Linked DNA regions of Saccharomyces cerevisiae S288C. Changing the gene in region 4 together with the main gene of any one other region gives a genetic interaction. Each region holds a gene or a part of one and is shown on either strand. Other genes may lie near its edges.

Region 1 (4,915 bases), on a different chromosome or scaffold from region 4:
GATAGTAAAAAGCTAGAAAGCAGGTAAGCAACAACCTACGATTTATTCAGAAGCTTCTTGTAAGGAAGAGGTTATTTGTTCAACAATTGGTCTGATAATGTCCTTCTTGTTTGGAACCATATGTCCACCAGGGTGTTCGTAAGCCAACACCTTTTCCTTATTACCATTTTGCGCCTTCAAATAAATATCGTACAGGTACTTGGATCTGACGGATGGGACGGCTTGGTCAGAAGCACCATAGATGAAGATCATCTTGGTCTTCATGTCTGGTTTTACCGCAAATGAGTCTCTGAATTTTTCGGTTATTCTCAATTCTCCAGGATGTTCTGGGTCTGGCTCGGTGAAGGAATAGCCGGAAATGACTACACTTACCTTGAATTGTGGATGGTCTGGAACTAACTCTGAGATCTTGTTGGTGATGATAGAGGACAATGCGGCACCTTGAGAGAAACCGACAATGCCGTCGTATGGGCCATTGGCCTTGATGTGATCAACAACAGACTTCAAACCTTCTGAGATATCCAATTCGTGAGAGATTTCGCTGTGATAGAACCAGGCTCTGTTAACATCCGCATCTAGGGTGGCTTGCCATTTTTCATCATCCATTTCAAATGGCAAGTCCTTCTTTTCTAAAAGGACTGGTGCATCAATATAGTCACATTGGACATTAGCCTTCTTCAATAATTTTCTAATACCAGATGATTTTTCGGAGAAAACTTTACCGTTTTGCAAGAAGCCGTGTAAAAATAATAATTTTGGAATTTGTACAGTCATCCTTCGTTTATTACAAGCTAGAGAGTTTCAGATTTAGCTGCTACTTTTACTAGAAAATTAAGATTGGCCGCGTACATCTGGCATTTTGCACCTTTATGGTTTATATACAATATACATTGCAGCCAAAAACATTCGAAAACTAGAGAAAAAGAAAGAAAACATGCGAGAATATGCAAAAATGAAAAAATGCAAAATTTCTTTTTTCTTTGGCCTATGCGTGTTGCCTTTTGAAGATCCGAAACAATCTATCACCAATGACGTAAGCGGGAAAAGATTATGCAACATCCAAAGGAAAAAATATGCAAAAAAATCAATCATCCCATGCATACGGCGACTTGGCTCTCAGTCGGGCACCGTATTTGGTAAACAGAAATGGGACAGGAATCATCGCTACGGTCACCATTGCCAAGAGAAAGCCGGCCCAATTCACTCCCATTGACTTGTACATCTGGAGTCCGAAAAGAGGGAAGACACCGGCCATTATGCATCTCACAAATGTGTTACAAGCCATTCCAGAAGCTGCATATCTTCTATAGGCATCCACTGTATACGCAAAAACACCGGTAAAGACGAAATAAACACCTGAACCGAAAATTGCACTGCCTATAATTGGTGCAATCCAATGGACATGCTTGTAGCAGGTGAATGCAAAAATGAAGAGCCCAACTGGGGTCAAAAAGGCGCCGTAGAACAGAGGCTCGAATCTCATTTCGGGAGTCTTGACGCCATTATTTCTTTTGACTCTCCACTCAAACGTTTTTTGGAATAACAAGCAAGTAGGAGCCGAGAGTATCATGCCGACCATAATACCGATATAGGAGCATGCAATCTCCATGGGCCCAAAGTTGTAAAGTTTCTTGAACACATAAGGAAACGCTACGAAATATAAATATATTATGGCAAGTTCCAATCCAGTATAGAAGCAAAGCACACCCATCATTCGGTCTCGAAGTAACAGGCCAAAGGGTCTTTTGGTTGAGAGAAAGATTGCGGAAAGTAAGGAAGTCTGTTCGCGGGTGACTTCCAGGACAGCATAATACCGTTGATCATTTTTCTCTTTCCTCAATCTCTTAGCTTTACGTATTAACAGCATTGGTTTGTAGGTTTCAGGTATGGTAAAGATGATCATAACGAGACAACATCCAGAAGTGATGAGAAGTGTGATAAATGTCCATTTATAACTTTGATGGTATAAGGCTCCACCAATGATTGGTCCTAAAGAGGGCCCCAAAAAGGCCGATGTAGTGTATATTGCCATAGGAATACCAATTTGGTCTTTGTCGAATATATCGGCAATGGCGCCGCCAGCCACACTTAGAAAGGCTGAACCAAAAAACCCGGATAGAAATCTGCCAAACATGACACCCGTAATGGTCTTGGACCAAATGGTCAAACACTGCCATATGATACTGAGCGTAAGGGCGTATAAAAATGTGATCCTTCGTCCATATAGTTCACTTAGTGGAGACAGAAATAAAGGTCCTATACCGAGCCCAAACACATAAAGCGTAATTCCCAGAGTGCTGACTTCGTGCGAAATATGAAAGTGTTCGATTATGTGCGTTGAAGGAAGCGTCCAGCTGGACGAGATCATCGTAATTACCATCGATGTGAATGTAATTAACGAGGAAATATAATACCGGCGGGCGGTGCTCATATGCCGTGCTATATCTTCTGGGTCCGCGATGTCCTCGTTGAAGGTCACTTCATGCGATTGTTTGCCGTCATTTTTTCGTTCACTGGTCAATTCCAGATCCAGTTTTGCGGCTTTGTCTGAGTTTATTGAACAATGCTCTTCTTCAGTAGATGTCAATGCCGATGACTGTGCACTCGCTATTTGAAATTCTGCAACCATATCCTGTTGTTATATCTGCATATATATGTTCTTAGTATACAAGGTGATACCATACACCAAATGTAAGGCAAATATGCCTTTATATAGGGTCCAGGTGAACGTAACGCATCTAATAACAAGTGTTATTGCTTGACCTAATAATCTGAGATGGTCGCTTCACCGGTAGAAAAATTCTCTGCGTATTACTAATCTCAACAATAGCCAACACTAAATCCGTAGGACCGGCGAAAAGCGTGCTAATCTCCGCTTTATTGCCGGATCCGAAAGGTGTTTCTGGCATCAAGATGTTATAAATCACGGAATTAAGAGAAGGATATTAAATGTGCCATTGCATTTTATTGATATTTCCACTCACCCAGAGGGATAATAATGATCAAAACAGATATACAATTCAGCTCCACTTTTACCTGCGCAACATGACATTTCCAGAACTAGCTTACAATTCGTACACCGGTTATAATTGGTTTATGGTTTCCAATGTAGGACCAATTTTTAGAGATAAATACTGAAGCAAATATTGGATTTCTTCTGTGTTTCACACGAAGAATATGAGTGAACCATTATTCCGGCTTTTGTTTCCTACAGCAAGATGTAAGTTATCTGGTTTGCTTATTACTTAGAAAAAGGGCTCCTGCTGGTGGAGGTAAATTAGATTATGCACCTATCGGCGGGTTAGCGTTGGGCCGTAGCCTTTTGGTCGCTTGCATTTACCACGTATTTTTTCCTTTCAATTTATTATAAGCTTAGAGATACGATTTCAAGGCGCAGCTCTTCTGTTAGCAGTTTTCTCTACGACTTTGTATGAGGTTCATCTCATTTTGTTAGCTTCTATTCACATACCTACTATAACACTAATCCTGCTATGGTTCAGACCCAAATATCTTCAACCCCTGCCATAGGAACTGTAAAAAATAGATTGTAATTCAAAGTACCTTCAGAAAAAAAAAGTTATATACGGCGCATACTACACAGTACGCAATGTGTCACTTGGTACCGCTGTTCTTATGTTCGTTTAAACAAGATCTCGAGGTTTGAGTCAATGTACGAGATTTTGAAACCATGAGGGATGTGCCCTCAAACTTTATGATCTGGTTTCTTTTTTTATTTATATCGTTTTTATGCTGGGTTACGTTGTTGTTTTATATTCCTTGTCTAGTATTACGGTCAGCAGAGGCCAAATCCTATATGCATTATATGTGGTTAGCATTGACTCCTTAATAGAACGGCCAGTTATCAATCAAATTGCCTATAAGCATGGATCACTAGCGGCTAGTATTGTATTGCATTTGGAATAGCCCTCTTCGTTGAGCCACAAAGATATCTTGCGGAAATGTGGCTAAAGCAACTTTTGATGATTGCTGGGAAACGGTTTGGTAAACTGCTGAAGCAATTGTTGTACACAATACTTCTGCTTTTGGCCCCATCTGGATTTTTCATTTCCGCTTTTGCCTCAGGTGCAACAATAACTATCTTTGAGCATCGTACCACCAATACAAAAGGATATGATCGTTATCATACAGAATTTTTCATGGATTTTGCATGTTTCGGTATAACTTTACGTAGGTGAATTATTGAAGGGCTTTGTGATAGGTGTGGATGTACCTGCCGTGCGTTGATGACCTTCAACTGATCGGAACAAATTGCTATTACATGTAAAAATCTCATGTATGAGCGAATCTTTTTGTGTTATAGGCAATCACCTAGAAAAGCTTGGAAATTGGTCCTGAGTTTTTTGTTGATGGTAAGTGCATTTTTTTAGTATGAAAGGTTTACGATATTAGCTGCTAAGTTCTCCCTTGCCCTAGTGAATTACGTTTTTTTCGATTAAAAGGGTTGGTCCCGAAATTGACCTCTTATATGTACCTCAATTGCAGATAGCATCAAATTTAGACTACGTCATCAACCAAATTACACCCTATGAAAAACATAAGATTATAAGCATGCGTTTGTGTAAAGGTCATACCATTTTATACGTTGACGCAATGGTGCAAATAGAAAGGTTTACGAAAGCTCTTATTCCGCTTAGCGCAATTCTATTGTTAATTTCAAGTAAAAAGATAAATATCTCACGTCCTTATATTATCTTTGATTAAAATTTCACGATCAATGTAACGAAAAAAGGTCGCAAATATTTCTTTTTCATCACTCTGATTAAACAATGGCATCATGAAACGCTCATTGGATCGTTACACGTTCTCATTGTACATATGTATGATTTAGAACAGCTTGTTCGCCTGATCTCCACCTTATACCCTCATCTTACCGCAGTGCGGTTTTACGCCTCAT
Region 2 (4,296 bases), on a different chromosome or scaffold from region 4:
GTTGAAATATATTAAGAAGTGGTCATTGTTTAGAATTGGTACCTGATTAGACCAAAATTTGAAAAAAAGGTGTAAAAGCTCTTTAATTTCAGTGAGGGAAAGTAGTTCATCATCCTGATCATTAGCCGGCTTTTCTGATTGCTTTGAAAACGAGTTAATGTTAAATTTCAAAGAAATTAAAAACTTTTTCAAATCGACAAACTCGGAGAGGTTTGTGCTTTGAAACCTTTTCACAAAAGCCGAATCATCATCAAGTTTTTTATCTTCATCTTTCTCCTTTAACTTGGTTGATGTTGAAGGTGCTAGAAGCCGTGGTGCTGGCAATCTATTTTTCAATGAAGATAATAATGAAACCGTATACAAACATTGCTTTGAGTTGAAACCAAATATTTGTCTTATCCTAGTTAAAAGCTGAGGAATAAACAGAATTTCTTCAGTAGATCTTGGGATGGATAAAGAAACTAAAGTTGCCAATTGAGTGCTACGTTGATGAGTCGTCATTGATTTTAATGCCTTTACCGCAGGAAGACCAGGTGCCTCGTCCTGTTCAAAAGATATAGCGGTTGGATCGTTTAAACTCGTAGAAGTAGGCTTGACGTGTAAATGATTTGTACAGGAAACGCCGTCACAAAGATGGTCTTTGTGTGGCGGTGGAGGTGGTGCCCCCAATGGACTCATTGCAGAACCGCTATTATCACCATCCATTTTGCCATTTTGTAGCTGCTTATTAACCGTTTGATTTAATAAATAGATATTTGTAGAAGACAGATTCAATGGAGCATCTTTCAAATCATGTTTGAAATTGCCATTTATGGTATTATCCGTTGATGTCTGTGGTCGCGACTGTGAAACAAGGCTTATTTGCTGTTCTTTGATATCACACAAAGCTAGCAAACGCTTATTCTCTGCCTCCAGTTCGCGTACTCTTTCTTCCAGGCTTTCTGTGTACCCTTTTGGATACGCTTTCCTCAGTAATTTATCGCTTATTCTGCATTCAAATCCGACAGCAGCACACTGCGAACACTGTGGTCTTTTTCCATCGCACCTTGTTTTCTTAGATCGACACCTGTCACAAGCTTGAGCTATCCTGTAAATAGGTGTAGATAAAGGAGTCGGAGAAGCTGTCTTGATCATTGCTTCCTTCACGTTCTTGGAAAAATGAGGGTTTGCCTCCGAACTTGAAGTTCTATTAGATATGCTAGGACCGCTAAGCGCTTGTGAACCCAGAGTTCTAATGACTCTGGGTTCCAAACCTTGTCGATCAGAATTATTATTTGCCATAATTTTGTGTCTTGTCTTTTACTCAACTTGTAAATTCTCTTTAGGGTGTTGTAACTGTTTATGAAGAAATAAATACCGTAATGAATTATTAAATTATTAAATTCTTCGTCTTTTTACAATATCACAGGTTTAAAGGGGAGTTTAACAAAATCTACTATTTTACGGCTGTTTTCTTTTTTTGAGTGTCACTGACCAATCATGCTTTCGTACCCCACAAAATATCAGCCCCGCCGCTCCATGCATGTCTCGGTTATCGCTTAATACGAATATAATCACTGAGAACCTCGGCGGCAAAAATATTTACCAATAGGCAAATTAAACACCGAAAAAAAGAAGTTTCAAGTAGAAGATTATCCCGAATACCAAAAAATTGCACGAGAAAGAATGTCTTTTTATGATTTATTGCTTATAATACTCAATTACTCTGGTTTTCTCCGTTCCTGTTACGCACATAAACTCTCTCTGTCTCTGATATCACAACTCATATCGCGAATAAACACCGGATAGAAAGAAGTGAGAGGAGCTACGATAACTGAATATACTCTTTCATCAAAAGTAATGTGCTAATAAAAAGAAATGTTGCACCATCTTAACAGATGTAAAAATGTTCTGCAGAAGGAAAGTTGTGTAATCATACACATTCAATAGTATAAGTCGTATCACAATCTGATGATAAAAGTTGTTACCTCTTTTAACTGCCTCTGATCCTTTTCACATTCAGTAATTTCTCGTAGATGTATATGTGCGAATGTGTCAATGTGTTTGTATGAAATAAACTAGTAGCCGGGTAACAAGTACTCCTAAATTCCCGCTTCGCCGTTTCTATCTCATTGGAGTCGTCCCTTCTAGAAGGTTTACTAGTTACGTTAACGTCATAGAAAAAGGAAAATCGACGCTGCGCTTTTATTTATAATCTTGCATTGCCCTCCTTATTTATCGAATTGTTAAGTGTAGATAGGTGACGCTAGAGCCGTATATTAGATTCTTTCAAACCCTGAAGAAAAGTTAAATGAAGATGTTGAGGCGTACAAAGGTAAATTTTTCAAAATTGCTTTACAAGATTACTAAACTAGCAATAGTACTGACGATCCTATATATTTATTTTACGCCCAAAATCGTCTCCCGAAACAATGCATCATTGCAGCATATTTTTCCTCATAAATATGGCGATTATGAAATCAATTTGGTCATAGCGCACCCTGACGACGAAGTTATGTTTTTTTCCCCCATAATTTCTCAACTGAATTCGTACTTTCCGAGAACCGTCCCATTTAACATAATCTGCTTATCAAAGGGCAACGCCGAAGGTCTTGGCGAAACCAGGGTAAGAGAATTAAATGAGTCGGCCGCTTTATTGCTACACAATGAAAGAGCAGTCTCCGTACAGGTGATGGATTTCCAGGATGGTATGGACGAAATATGGGATATTGATTCTATAACTTCTTCTCTTTCACAAAAGATAGATATAAAGAATCATAACTTGAACCAGATTATCGTTACCTTTGATTCATATGGTGTATCAAATCATATCAACCACAAAAGCTGTTATGCTGCCGTTAAAAAGTTGGTGGATGATTATGCTCAACCTAAGACCAAAAGAAATGAACAACCACCTCATGTCACTGCGCTTTATTTGAGAAGCTACAAGAACAACATCGTTTTAAAGTACAACTCCTTTATTTGGGAAATCCTAAAAATACTTTACGACCTGATTTCTCCATTCCGTAGAATAATTCAGGCGCTTCCGCCTAACACAGCCGCCGAAAAAGACAAGCTTTCACTTATGAATACACATGCACAATACGTACTAGCGTTTGCCACTATGCTAAATGCTCACGAATCCCAAGTTGTGTGGTTTAGATACGGATGGTGGATATTTTCCAGATTTGTCTTCGTTAATGAATTTGATGTTTATACATATTAGACTCTACACTGTAGATATATATATAAAAAAGTCCCATATTATTTACATCCTATAGAATAAGAATATGGAGAAAAATAAATGCTAATTCTACTTACACTTTTCTTACCAAAGGCTACCTATAATCATACCATCATCTTCATCGTCATCGAAACTATCTAGCCGCACTTTCTCCCTTTCCTTTTTGTTCTCAATCTTGTTTTTCATTTTCTTACTTCTTAGAAACATACGATTCGCACAAAAAATATTCAAATCTTTGGTCATTTTTCTATCAAAACCATAACTATCAATGAATTCCCTTACCGCTGAAAATCTACCTCTATTTACAAGCTCCTTAATAATACATTTTTGGTATTTGATAATGATATTGTTAACTTTTCCAGCATTTTCTGCTCTCGTTCTTTCGATCCCCGGTTTGAAACTCCTTAAAACATCAATTCCAAGCGGGAAATTGCCTGTTTTCTTCATGATATCGTACAGTTGTCTCAACGTCTCATAATCAACTGAAGGCCTTAGCCGCTTAGATGCATACCACTGCTTCATTAAATGCCAACATCTAACAACAGAAGTGGCTTTCTTGTCGTTTGCTGGTGTCCAAGCAAAATGACTTAGCTGAAACAGCCTTCTCCAAAATAGCGCATCCAATTTCACGTCCGGATAGTGCTTTATGAATGAATCCAAAATACTTAGGCCTCTGTGAAGATCGTGGTCATTAAAGTAGAATGACACTAAGATTGAAACGAGTATTTTGGAACTAGGATAGCACCCTCGGTGCTTAATTACTACGTGACTAGGAAACTCTTGGGGTGATATTTGCCATATATGTTCAATACACCGTTCCAATATTTGGGTTTGGCCTAGGTGTCCAAAGGATTGAATTAAAGTGGACAACAAATCCTCGGAATTCAAAAGCTTTTTCTCCTGCAGAGCAAGATCAGCAATCTTTAATAATGTTTGGTGATCCATGGCTTTGTAAGTAGAAGAAAGACGAATTGACGTATTTTTCGCACCTAGTCGAACCATTTTTCTTAAAAAACCTTGTTTTTGCTCACTATTATCTGGTATTTTCCAATAAGGCGCCAAAGCGCCACAAC
Region 3 (4,504 bases), on a different chromosome or scaffold from region 4:
GCCTCCAACAGAAAAGGAAAAATGGCTTGATATGCTTCAAAATATGCATTGAGATTCATATTCGGTTATCAATTAACGATATTACTTCCTTAAGTGATATTAAATCAAGCTTGCCGGATTCTGCAGTCAGAATTATACATAATAGTATTTGTGCTCTCGTAAATCCTTTCAGAATTACACCATAGTAGTCTTTGTGAATGTTCTACTTATTAGAATAGATTATTGCTAGTTTATCTCACTTTTCATTCCCCATATCCCTTTTTTTGCTCATCCCCCGGGGTATTTTATCAAGATAAAATTTTATATACATGCAGTGCGCGATAACTCCTAGAGAGGCAGTAATAGCAAAACAAAGACAGTATAAGCATTATTTGGGTATGGAAAGACCATTGTGGGTACGTTGGTTGAAAGTCTATGCAATTGGTGGCGCTATTATTGGAAGCGGGTTTCTGCTTTTCAAGTACACAACGCCAACAGATCAACAGTTAATCAGCCAGCTTTCCCCAGAATTACGTTTACAATATGAGAGGGAGAAAAAACTACGTCAGTCGGAGCAGCAGGCTTTGATGAAAATTGTTAAGGAAACTTCTCAAAGTGACGATCCAATTTGGAAGACGGGCCCCCTTCAATCACCTTGGGAAAGGAACGGTGATAACGTTCAAAGCAGAGATCACTTTGCTAAGGTGAGGGCGGAGGAGGTGCAAAAAGAAGAGTTGGCTAGGATCAGAAATGAACTGTCTCAGCTAAGATCTGAAACGGAGGAGAAAACAAAGGAAATAGTCCAGGATAAGCAGGTTAAAAGCTGGTGGCGCTTCTGGTAGATGGGTCGGGTCACTCAATTAGGAAGGGCAGCTTGAACTTTTGCATCCTAAAACATACGTCTGTGTCATTTATGATATATTATTTATTTGTACACTGTAAATAGGTTTAAAAATATAACTTCATACTTATTTTTAGCTATTTTAGTTCCCATACTTGGGGATGGAAAAAACATTGCGCAAGCCCGGAATCGAACCGGGGGCCCAACGATGGCAACGTTGGATTTTACCACTAAACCACTTGCGCTTGTTATTTATATGAGATTATTGCATCATGCAATGGGGTAATGTCAAGGTTCTTGACAATCCTAATATAAACAGTCTTAGGGAAGTAACCAGTTGTCAAAACGGTTTATCAGCTTGATTCACGGGATCTTACTTATCCTATATATTATATAAAATATGGATCATACTAAATGGTGGAAGCGCGGAATCTTGGATCTAAACCAATTGTTCAGATACTTATACGTTAGAGTAGGTTAGCTAAGGAAGGCAGAGTTTTATTTTCATGTTGCTCATTCTGTTCGTTTTGCTGTAAGGTTGTTTCATATGTGTTTTATGAACGTTTAGGATGATGTATTGTCATACTGAGGTATCCCATTCTGAGATACAACAGAGAAGGTTCCTTTATACTTACTACACTAGGTACCACTATTATAATTTCGAGATTTCATTGTCATTCGGGTTTATTTATTCATTTGAAGCCCAGAATGACAATTTTTATGAACGGAGCTCTTCAAATTACATTATAAAAGTATATACGAATATACCATGAAAGTAACACCTTCCGGTTCTCACTAAAAAACCTATTTTCAGCATTTATTTCTACTACAAGGAAAATGAGTCCGTTTAGTCATGCAAAATCTCTGCTCCGTACTACAGTTCTCGATGCTGATCTTGTTTTTTCATGTTTCTTTAAAATCTATTCATTTATACTATTTCGCGAATAAAGAAACTACATCTTCATCATCAATCCTGTGGTTTAAGCCGCACTTCTGAGGAGAATGTTTGGCAGAAGAACCCCAAACCAATGCGTATTTGAACTTATCTTTGAAATCCCTGTGGATACCATGACATAAGTCACCAATAGTGGAATTATTTCTTACCACTAGAGGATCATCAAATACTGGTCTAACACCTCTCTTCTTTGTATACACACGACTCAAGTTCAGCTGGTACCAAATTTCTTCAACGACGTCTTGTAATCCCAAATCCATTTCACAGGACATAACAACGGTGTTTGGCTCTCTGGCAAGTTTATCCACCTCTTCTAATGATACTGCATCTATCTTATTATACACATAAAGACATTTGACATAATTTCTATGTTGTTCGTTAATAACATCGATAAAATCATCAATCGTACATTGGTCATCTCTTACCAGAACTTCTGCATTATGGATACGATAATCTCTCAAGATCATTTTGATTGCCTGTTCGGTTAAATTGGTCTTTGGAGGGGAGGTAAACGTAACTTTCACGCCACCAGTTTCTTTTTTCTTATAGTAAATATTTGGTTTCTCTTTATTAAGCCTGATGCCTACATTTTCCAGCTCCTTCTCCAAAGATGCTCTTTGATGTTCACTCTTTGTGGCATCTAAAACCATTAATACTAGATCTGCGGTCCTTGCTGTTGCAACAACTTGCCTACCACGACCTTTACCCTGCGAAGCACCATAAATAATACCTGGAAGATCCACAATTTGGATTTCTGCACCTTGGTACTTCAATACACCAGGAACGGATGTCAATGTCGTGAAAGCATAATGAGCGATCTCAGACTTGGTGGTGGTAATTTTACCCAATAAGGAGGACTTACCGACGGAGGGGTAACCTATTAAAACTACTCTAGCGTCACCTGATTTTGCCACTTCAAAACCAGACCCTCCTCCACCACCACTACCAGCTTCATCAGCTAGCAGTTGTTGTCTGTATCTAGCCAATTTCCCCTTCAAAAGACCCAGATGATGTTCTGTGGCCTTATTTTTTTGGGTTCTGGCCATTTCTTCTTCGATGGCTTTGATTTTGTCGATAATACCCATTTTGTAGTGCTTGTTACGTTAGTTTTGATAATGCGTATCTCGTTAGTACTTGTTCAATTCCAATATCAACAGCTTCAATATTGTACGACTTTTATAACTGGGTTTAAATCTCATCGCTATTATCACGAAAATTTTCACTTCGGGTAACCATTGATTATTTTGCTATTTGAGTGAGGTAACTACGTGACACGAACCAAGTCATCTTATAACAGCTACAAATTGGACGGGAAGTACTGCAAGACAACTATTAGTCCCTCTCGAGATGTCTTTCTACAATACTAGTAACAATGCTAATAATGGCGGTGGCTTTTATCAGCCTTCTGCACAATTTGCCGTTCCCCAAGGGTCAATGAGTTTTCAAAATACCGTCGGTTCTTCTAATACTGGCAACGATAACAATTTGGGTGTTGCCCCCGACCCTTTGCCTGTAGGTATTTTACATGCTCTTTCAACTAAGGGATATCCACATGAACCTCCATTACTGGAGGAAATTGGAATAAATTTCGATCATATCATAACGAAAACTAAAATGGTTCTTATACCAATACGTTTTGGTAGTGGTGTGCCACAAGAAATTCTAAACGATTCAGATTTGGCTGGGCCTTTGATATTCTTTTTGTTATTCGGACTTTTTCTATTGATGGCTGGAAAGGTTCATTTTGGATATATCTATGGTGTCGCTTTGTTTGGTACCATTTCTTTGCACAATCTATCGAAATTAATGAGCAATAACGATACTTCCACTCAAACGAACCTACAATTTTTCAATACAGCGTCCATCTTAGGATACTGCTTTTTGCCTCTGTGTTTCCTTTCTTTACTGGGCATTTTCCATGGTTTGAACAACACTACAGGTTATGTTGTATCAGTACTATTTGTAATTTGGAGTACTTGGACCTCGTCTGGATTTTTAAATTCTTTGCTCCAATTGCAAAATGCAAGATTGCTAATTGCCTACCCACTGTTGATTTTCTACAGTGTTTTTGCCCTCATGGTAATTTTTGTCTGAAGGGAATTGGCTTAGGGGCGATATTTGTATATATGTTTTTCTGAACTATGTTTGAATAAAGAGTGTATACAGCATTACATAATCACACTTACTTCCTTGTATAGTGCAAGCAATACCAGTACTAGGCAACATTGGATTACGAAGTGCCTTCTCTTTCTTTAAAAACTAAAACGTAGTCCAATGGTGGTTTCAAACAAATAAATCCGCACAACTGTGAAAAAAGAATGTAAATTTTAATGTTACTATTCTCCAGAGGTAAATAAGGAAAGCATAGGTTTTGATCGAAAGAAAACATGCAATGTCGATCAATTGTGCATCGTCTGTACTCTAAGGTCTCCCACGTAACGACGCCAATTTTCTATCCCAATGCCAAACCGCACCTCGGCCATCTTTACTCCAGCTTATTAAGTGACGTTTACCATCGATGGCAATTATTTAAAGGTAATCTATCCTTCTTTACCACAGGTACTGATGAACATGGATTGAAAATCCAGTGTGCTAGTGAAAGCAATGGCTTCGATCAGCCAAAAAAGTTCGTCGATAAGCTATACCCAGAGTTTGTTCAATTAGACAAAATATATGGCATTAATTATACAAGATTTATAAGGACTACGGATCCTGACCACATTGAAAAC
Region 4 (5,185 bases):
AAACTTTATCTATATCTAATGCTACCTGGCAAAGCACCCCTAATAGAAAACAACCTTTTGAATTGCAAATCAAAAATCCTGTCAAGTCAATTAAACTTGTGGGTCCCGTTTCAGAAAACTATCCATTACAAAAGAAATATCAAACCTTACGTTATTTAAGGTCCTTACCTACACTAAAATACAGAACCGCTTACTTAAGTGCAATTTTACGGTTAAGATCCTTTGTAGAATTCCAGTTCATGCTATATTTCCAGAAAAACCACTTCACCAAAGTTTCACCACCAATATTAACTTCAAACGATTGTGAAGGTGCCGGCGAGTTGTTTCAAGTCTCCACCAATACGTCGCCAACTGCATCCTCGTACTTTGGGAAGCCGACTTATTTGACTGTGTCCACTCAATTGCACTTGGAAATTTTAGCGTTATCACTGTCAAGGTGTTGGACGTTATCTCCTTGCTTTAGAGCCGAAAAGAGTGATACTCCAAGACACCTTTCGGAGTTTTGGATGCTTGAAGTGGAAATGTGCTTTGTTAATAGCGTCAACGAGCTAACATCGTTTGTTGAGACTACAATAAAACACATAATTAAAGCTTGTATAGATAACCAACAAGAACTCTTGCCGAAGCAATTTATCTCTTCACAAGAAAATAATGCATCGTCAGAGCTATCAATAAATCAAGAGACACAACAAATTAAAACACGATGGGAAGATTTAATAAATGAAAAATGGCACAATATAACGTATACCAATGCAATAGAAATTCTCAAGAAACGCCACAATGAAGTTTCACACTTTAAGTATGAACCTAAATGGGGACAGCCTTTGCAAACTGAACATGAAAAATTTTTAGCCGGAGAGTATTTTAAGTCCCCAGTTTTCGTTACCGACTATCCACGTCTTTGTAAACCATTCTACATGAAACAAAATTCCACTCCTGACGATACTGTTGGATGCTTTGATCTACTGGTTCCTGGAATGGGTGAAATAATTGGTGGGAGTTTAAGGGAAGATGACTATGACAAGTTATGTAGAGAAATGAAAGCACGCGGGATGAATAGATCTGGAGAATTGGACTGGTATGTTTCTCTGAGAAAAGAAGGAAGTGCACCACACGGAGGCTTTGGTCTAGGGTTTGAGAGATTTATCTCATACTTATATGGCAACCATAATATAAAGGATGCCATACCCTTTTATAGAACATCTGCAGAATCCATCGATTTTTGATATTCCATTTGTTTCTTATCTCCTTCTATGTATTTACTCACTGTTCACCATTCTTCCCCCCTTAAAAGTAAGCTTTATTTAAGACCATCCTTGTAAATATAATAATGTAGCATTTTTCTTCAATATGAAGGTACTAAACTCCATTTGGCATTCGGCCTGACCTATGTTAATTGACAAAGAATGACACATTCCGCTCATTGGAAATCTCGGATACGAAAATGCCAAAACAAAATATAACAAAAAGTATCTATCATTAGTAAAAAATACTATAATGGTCCTTATCCACAGAGCTTGAATTTAGATCACCTAAAGGAATGCTAGCAAAGGAACTAGGAAGTGGTAAGCATATGAACACACGAATATAAAAGATATGGCGCGTCAAAAGCTTACTTTCAAAGAACAAATGGATGGTTTCCCCTGGGTCCAACTTGTTGTTGTGTCCTTAGTTAGGTTCAGCGAACCAATTGCGTTTTCGTCACTATTTCCTTATGTTTATTTCATGGTTAGAGATTTTAATATTGCTCCCAATGATGCTCAAGTGTCCAAATATTCAGGTTATTTATCTTCATCATTTGCGTTATGCCAAGTCATATCTGCGTACCACTGGGGTAGATTCTCTGAAAAGCATGGCAGAAAAATAACATTGACTTGCGGGCTTATAGGAACATCTGTATCATTGTTAATACTGGGATTTTCACGCAATTTCTATCAGGCTTTGGTGGCAAGAAGTTTAATGGGATTGCTAAATGGTAACGTCGGCGTTATTAGAACCATTATTGGTGAAATAGCAACTGAAAGAAAACATCAGGCTTTAGCTTTCAGTACTATGCCTTTATTATTTCAATTTGGTGCCGTTGTTGGGCCTATGATCGGTGGGTTTCTTGTATTTAGAGATGGAACAATGAATGAAGTGCCACTATGGTTTCCACATTTTGCAAAAAGAATAATTAGGTCATATCCGTACGCCTTGCCAAACGTGGTAGTGTGCATGTTTTTGATGTTTGGTTTAACTAATGCAACATTGTTTTTGGAAGAAACACATCCTGCTTTTAAAGATAGAAGAGATTACGGTTTAGAGGTCGGTGATTTTATTAAGAAGAATATATTTGGTATACAGCCGAAAAGAAGACCCTGGCAAAAGCGCATTCAGGATGATTCGGAAAACATTCACCACCGTAATGAGAATGTGAACAGCATTCGAGGACAAGATAGTGAAGAGGATGAAAATAGTCCCCTAGTGAATACTACCAATGACGATGATACTGAAAGCATACAATCGATTGATCCTATTTTAACAAGAAGACAGTCTGTAGGCCTGATTAGGACATATTCTCTGCATGAACCAACAGACGCTGTGCATGCCAATATAGATACAGCTCCAGACGGTTGTAAAGAAAGTAGTATATTTCATCACGTTTTTCATACAAAAGTATTTTACCCTATATCGGTGAATTTTATTATGGCTTTACATTTGATTGTATACAACGAATTTTTGCCTGTTTTTTTAGCTTATGATTTAGCCGTAGATCCAGAAAATCCAAAGAAGCTGGCTTCAAAATTTCCGTGGAAAATATCTGGCGGTATAGGTTATGAACCAGAACAAACCGGTACTCTTTTGTCGACAACAGGTATCTTTGGTTGTTTTGTGGTTATTTTCATTTTTCCCATAGTTGATCGAAATTTCGATTGTTTAACAATTTTCAGAACTTTAGTCAAGCTGTACCCTATTATGTACGTTATGGTTCCTTACGTTGTTTTTCTACAGAATGAACGGATTCCTAGCTGGTATACTGTCGTCTACTTGTACATAATCACAGGGATAAAAACATTTTGTGGCGCTTTAACGTCACCACAAATTATGTTATTAATTCATAATTCGAGTCCCTTGAGTTGTAGATCAGTCATCAATGGCGCCACCATTAGTATTTCTGCCTCTGCTCGTTTCATAGGTCCCTTAGTATGGGGCTATATTATGTCTTGGTCCCAGCAAAATGACGTCGCCTGGGTCAGTTGGTGGTCGTTAAGTCTTTTTTGTATGGTAGCTCTTTATCAAAGTTATAAGATAGCACCAATTGATGATAACGAAAATGAGCTTCATGGACAGGGTAGTGAAGATGCCTACAATTCGCAGTCACAGTCTTCTGATTTAAGAATGGCTCATCGATCTAGTTTAAGCAGCTTAAGTAACCAACGCTGTACCACATGAGAAATTTTTTTTCAGAAGGCTTGCAAAAAGGATATCTAATAAAAAAAAAAATGAACTCCAGTAGATTTTAGATATCAACCATAACTGGCGAAAATTTGCACCTTTTTGATGAGAGCATGTTATGTCAAGGCATGGCCGCGTGATGGCATTGCACTCAAGATAGTTTCCGGAATTATTATACTCCTTATGTAAATTTCAATCCGTTTATGTAATTATATCCAGGAACTCAATTTGACCAGACAAGTAATGGCGCCCATTTTGAGCGAGAGAACCCATTTTTCTATACAAATTTCACTAGAGCACGGCCGTTACATTTAGTAATAGCCAATAAGGGTTTTTTATCGATTAGTGTTCCCTGCGCTCCTTAACATCATACAACCGAGTACTTGACATGGAGATAGTAGGCAAGTAAACCAAAGTCCTTTCTTCAAAAGTAGAAAACTTGAGCACTTATTTCCTGCGCATGTCATATGTTAATTTTCCTCAACTGCGCTGAATACGTCCTGTCAATTCAAATATATCACGTTGTGAGCAGCCCTGAAGAAGAAAACCTCAACAGCAGTATTACTATTACAATCAAACAACTTTAGTGCCGCGTGATACCGGGGGTTGAAGTGGGTGCATTGAGCCGTATTCTTCTTCCCCGTAAGAAAGTTGTGTATCCTTTTTACTGCGTTGTAATAGCTTCTGAAAACCTAAAAAATGAACGCTATGTAGCTCATATCCGTTTTGCATAAGTAAGAATAACTACTTGTGCAGGGTGCCGAAAGGGATGGAAAACCGCTGCAGCAACCCTTGTTACATACAGTCGGATCCATCTGACTTACTTTCCTTGCGTCTCCCTGCGCGATTTTGTTGGCCATTTTCCAGATCCTCTAGAATTTTTCAAGGGTCGAGCCGTAGGAGGATTCTCTCAGAAGGCAAAAACGCATCGAAAGCGTGCTTTGTAAGAATATTTGGTATGGCTAAAGTAAGCAAAGCCATATCCCGATCCCGATCCCGACTCTTATTCCGATCCCTTCCGCCACATCCTGCATGTTTATTCGAATACCAAATTAGCTCATCTTCGTTATTTCATCATCCCTTTCTGCTATGGCAAGGACAAGTTTTTTTCTAGCATCTCATCGAAAACTTTCCTCTCCCTAATTGGCCAAAGTTTTCATATTCATCATCAGTTAGAAAGTATAATATCAATCCCTTACCTCATTACAAGTTGTATCACACTAAAAAAATCATATATAAGTCTGTGAGAGTCTTCAATTATTTAGCGTAACACCTATTCACTTTCTAATCTTGTTTCTTGTTTTTACATTCTGCAATACAACACAACAACAAATATTAACTCAATTATTATTATTTATAATTACAAAAACAAAACAACAAGTTTGAGACTTTAATATCTTTTGATTACTAAAAACAACAAATTTCAAATGAACGATACGCTATCAAGCTTTTTAAATCGTAACGAGGCTTTAGGGCTTAATCCACCACATGGCCTGGATATGCACATTACCAAGAGAGGTTCGGATTGGTTATGGGCAGTGTTTGCAGTCTTTGGCTTTATATTGCTATGCTATGTTGTGATGTTCTTCATTGCGGAGAACAAGGGCTCCAGATTGACTAGATATGCCTTAGCTCCTGCATTTTTGATCACTTTCTTTGAATTTTTTGCTTTCTTCACTTATGCTTCTGATTTAGGTTGGACTGGTGTTCAAGCTGAATTTAACCACGTCAAGGTTAGCAAGTCTATCAC

Evidence for each region.
Region 1: mutations in YCR023C (region 4) and YHK8 together harm fitness more than expected from each alone (negative genetic interaction), as found in Saccharomyces cerevisiae (one large-scale study listed by BioGRID).
Region 2: mutations in YCR023C (region 4) and GPI12 together harm fitness more than expected from each alone (negative genetic interaction), as found in Saccharomyces cerevisiae (one large-scale study listed by BioGRID).
Region 3: mutations in YCR023C (region 4) and RBG2 together harm fitness more than expected from each alone (negative genetic interaction), as found in Saccharomyces cerevisiae (one large-scale study listed by BioGRID).

What each region holds. Positions count from the first base shown.
Region 1 is NC_001140.6:202,321-207,235, reverse strand, and holds YHK8 (Yhk8p), read right to left. Parts: upstream 2,630-4,915; coding exon 1,085-2,629; downstream 1-1,084. Other genes in the region: FSH1 (putative serine hydrolase), read right to left, coding at 43-774. UniProt on the Saccharomyces cerevisiae protein: Probable drug/proton antiporter.
Region 2 is NC_001145.3:830,049-834,344, forward strand, and holds GPI12 (N-acetylglucosaminylphosphatidylinositol deacetylase), read left to right. Parts: upstream 1-2,290; coding exon 2,291-3,205; downstream 3,206-4,296. Other genes in the region: DNA-binding transcription factor CAT8, read right to left, coding at 1-1,281; AEP2 (Aep2p), read right to left, coding at 3,308-4,296. UniProt on the Saccharomyces cerevisiae protein: Involved in the second step of GPI biosynthesis. De-N-acetylation of N-acetylglucosaminyl-phosphatidylinositol.
Region 3 is NC_001139.9:842,210-846,713, reverse strand, and holds RBG2 (Rbg2p), read right to left. Parts: upstream 2,861-4,504; coding exon 1,754-2,860; downstream 1-1,753. Other genes in the region: YGR174W-A (uncharacterized protein), read right to left, coding at 1-59; CBP4 (Cbp4p), read left to right, coding at 309-821; transporter YIP1, read left to right, coding at 3,123-3,869; methionine--tRNA ligase MSM1, read left to right, coding at 4,163-4,504.
Region 4 is NC_001135.5:156,785-161,969, reverse strand, and holds YCR023C (uncharacterized protein), read left to right. Parts: upstream 1-1,596; coding exon 1,597-3,432; downstream 3,433-5,185. Other genes in the region: asparagine--tRNA ligase SLM5, read left to right, coding at 1-1,226; YCR022C (uncharacterized protein), read left to right, coding at 4,205-4,549; HSP30 (Hsp30p), read left to right, coding at 4,863-5,185. UniProt on the Saccharomyces cerevisiae protein: Outward-rectifying chloride channel involved in chloride homeostasis.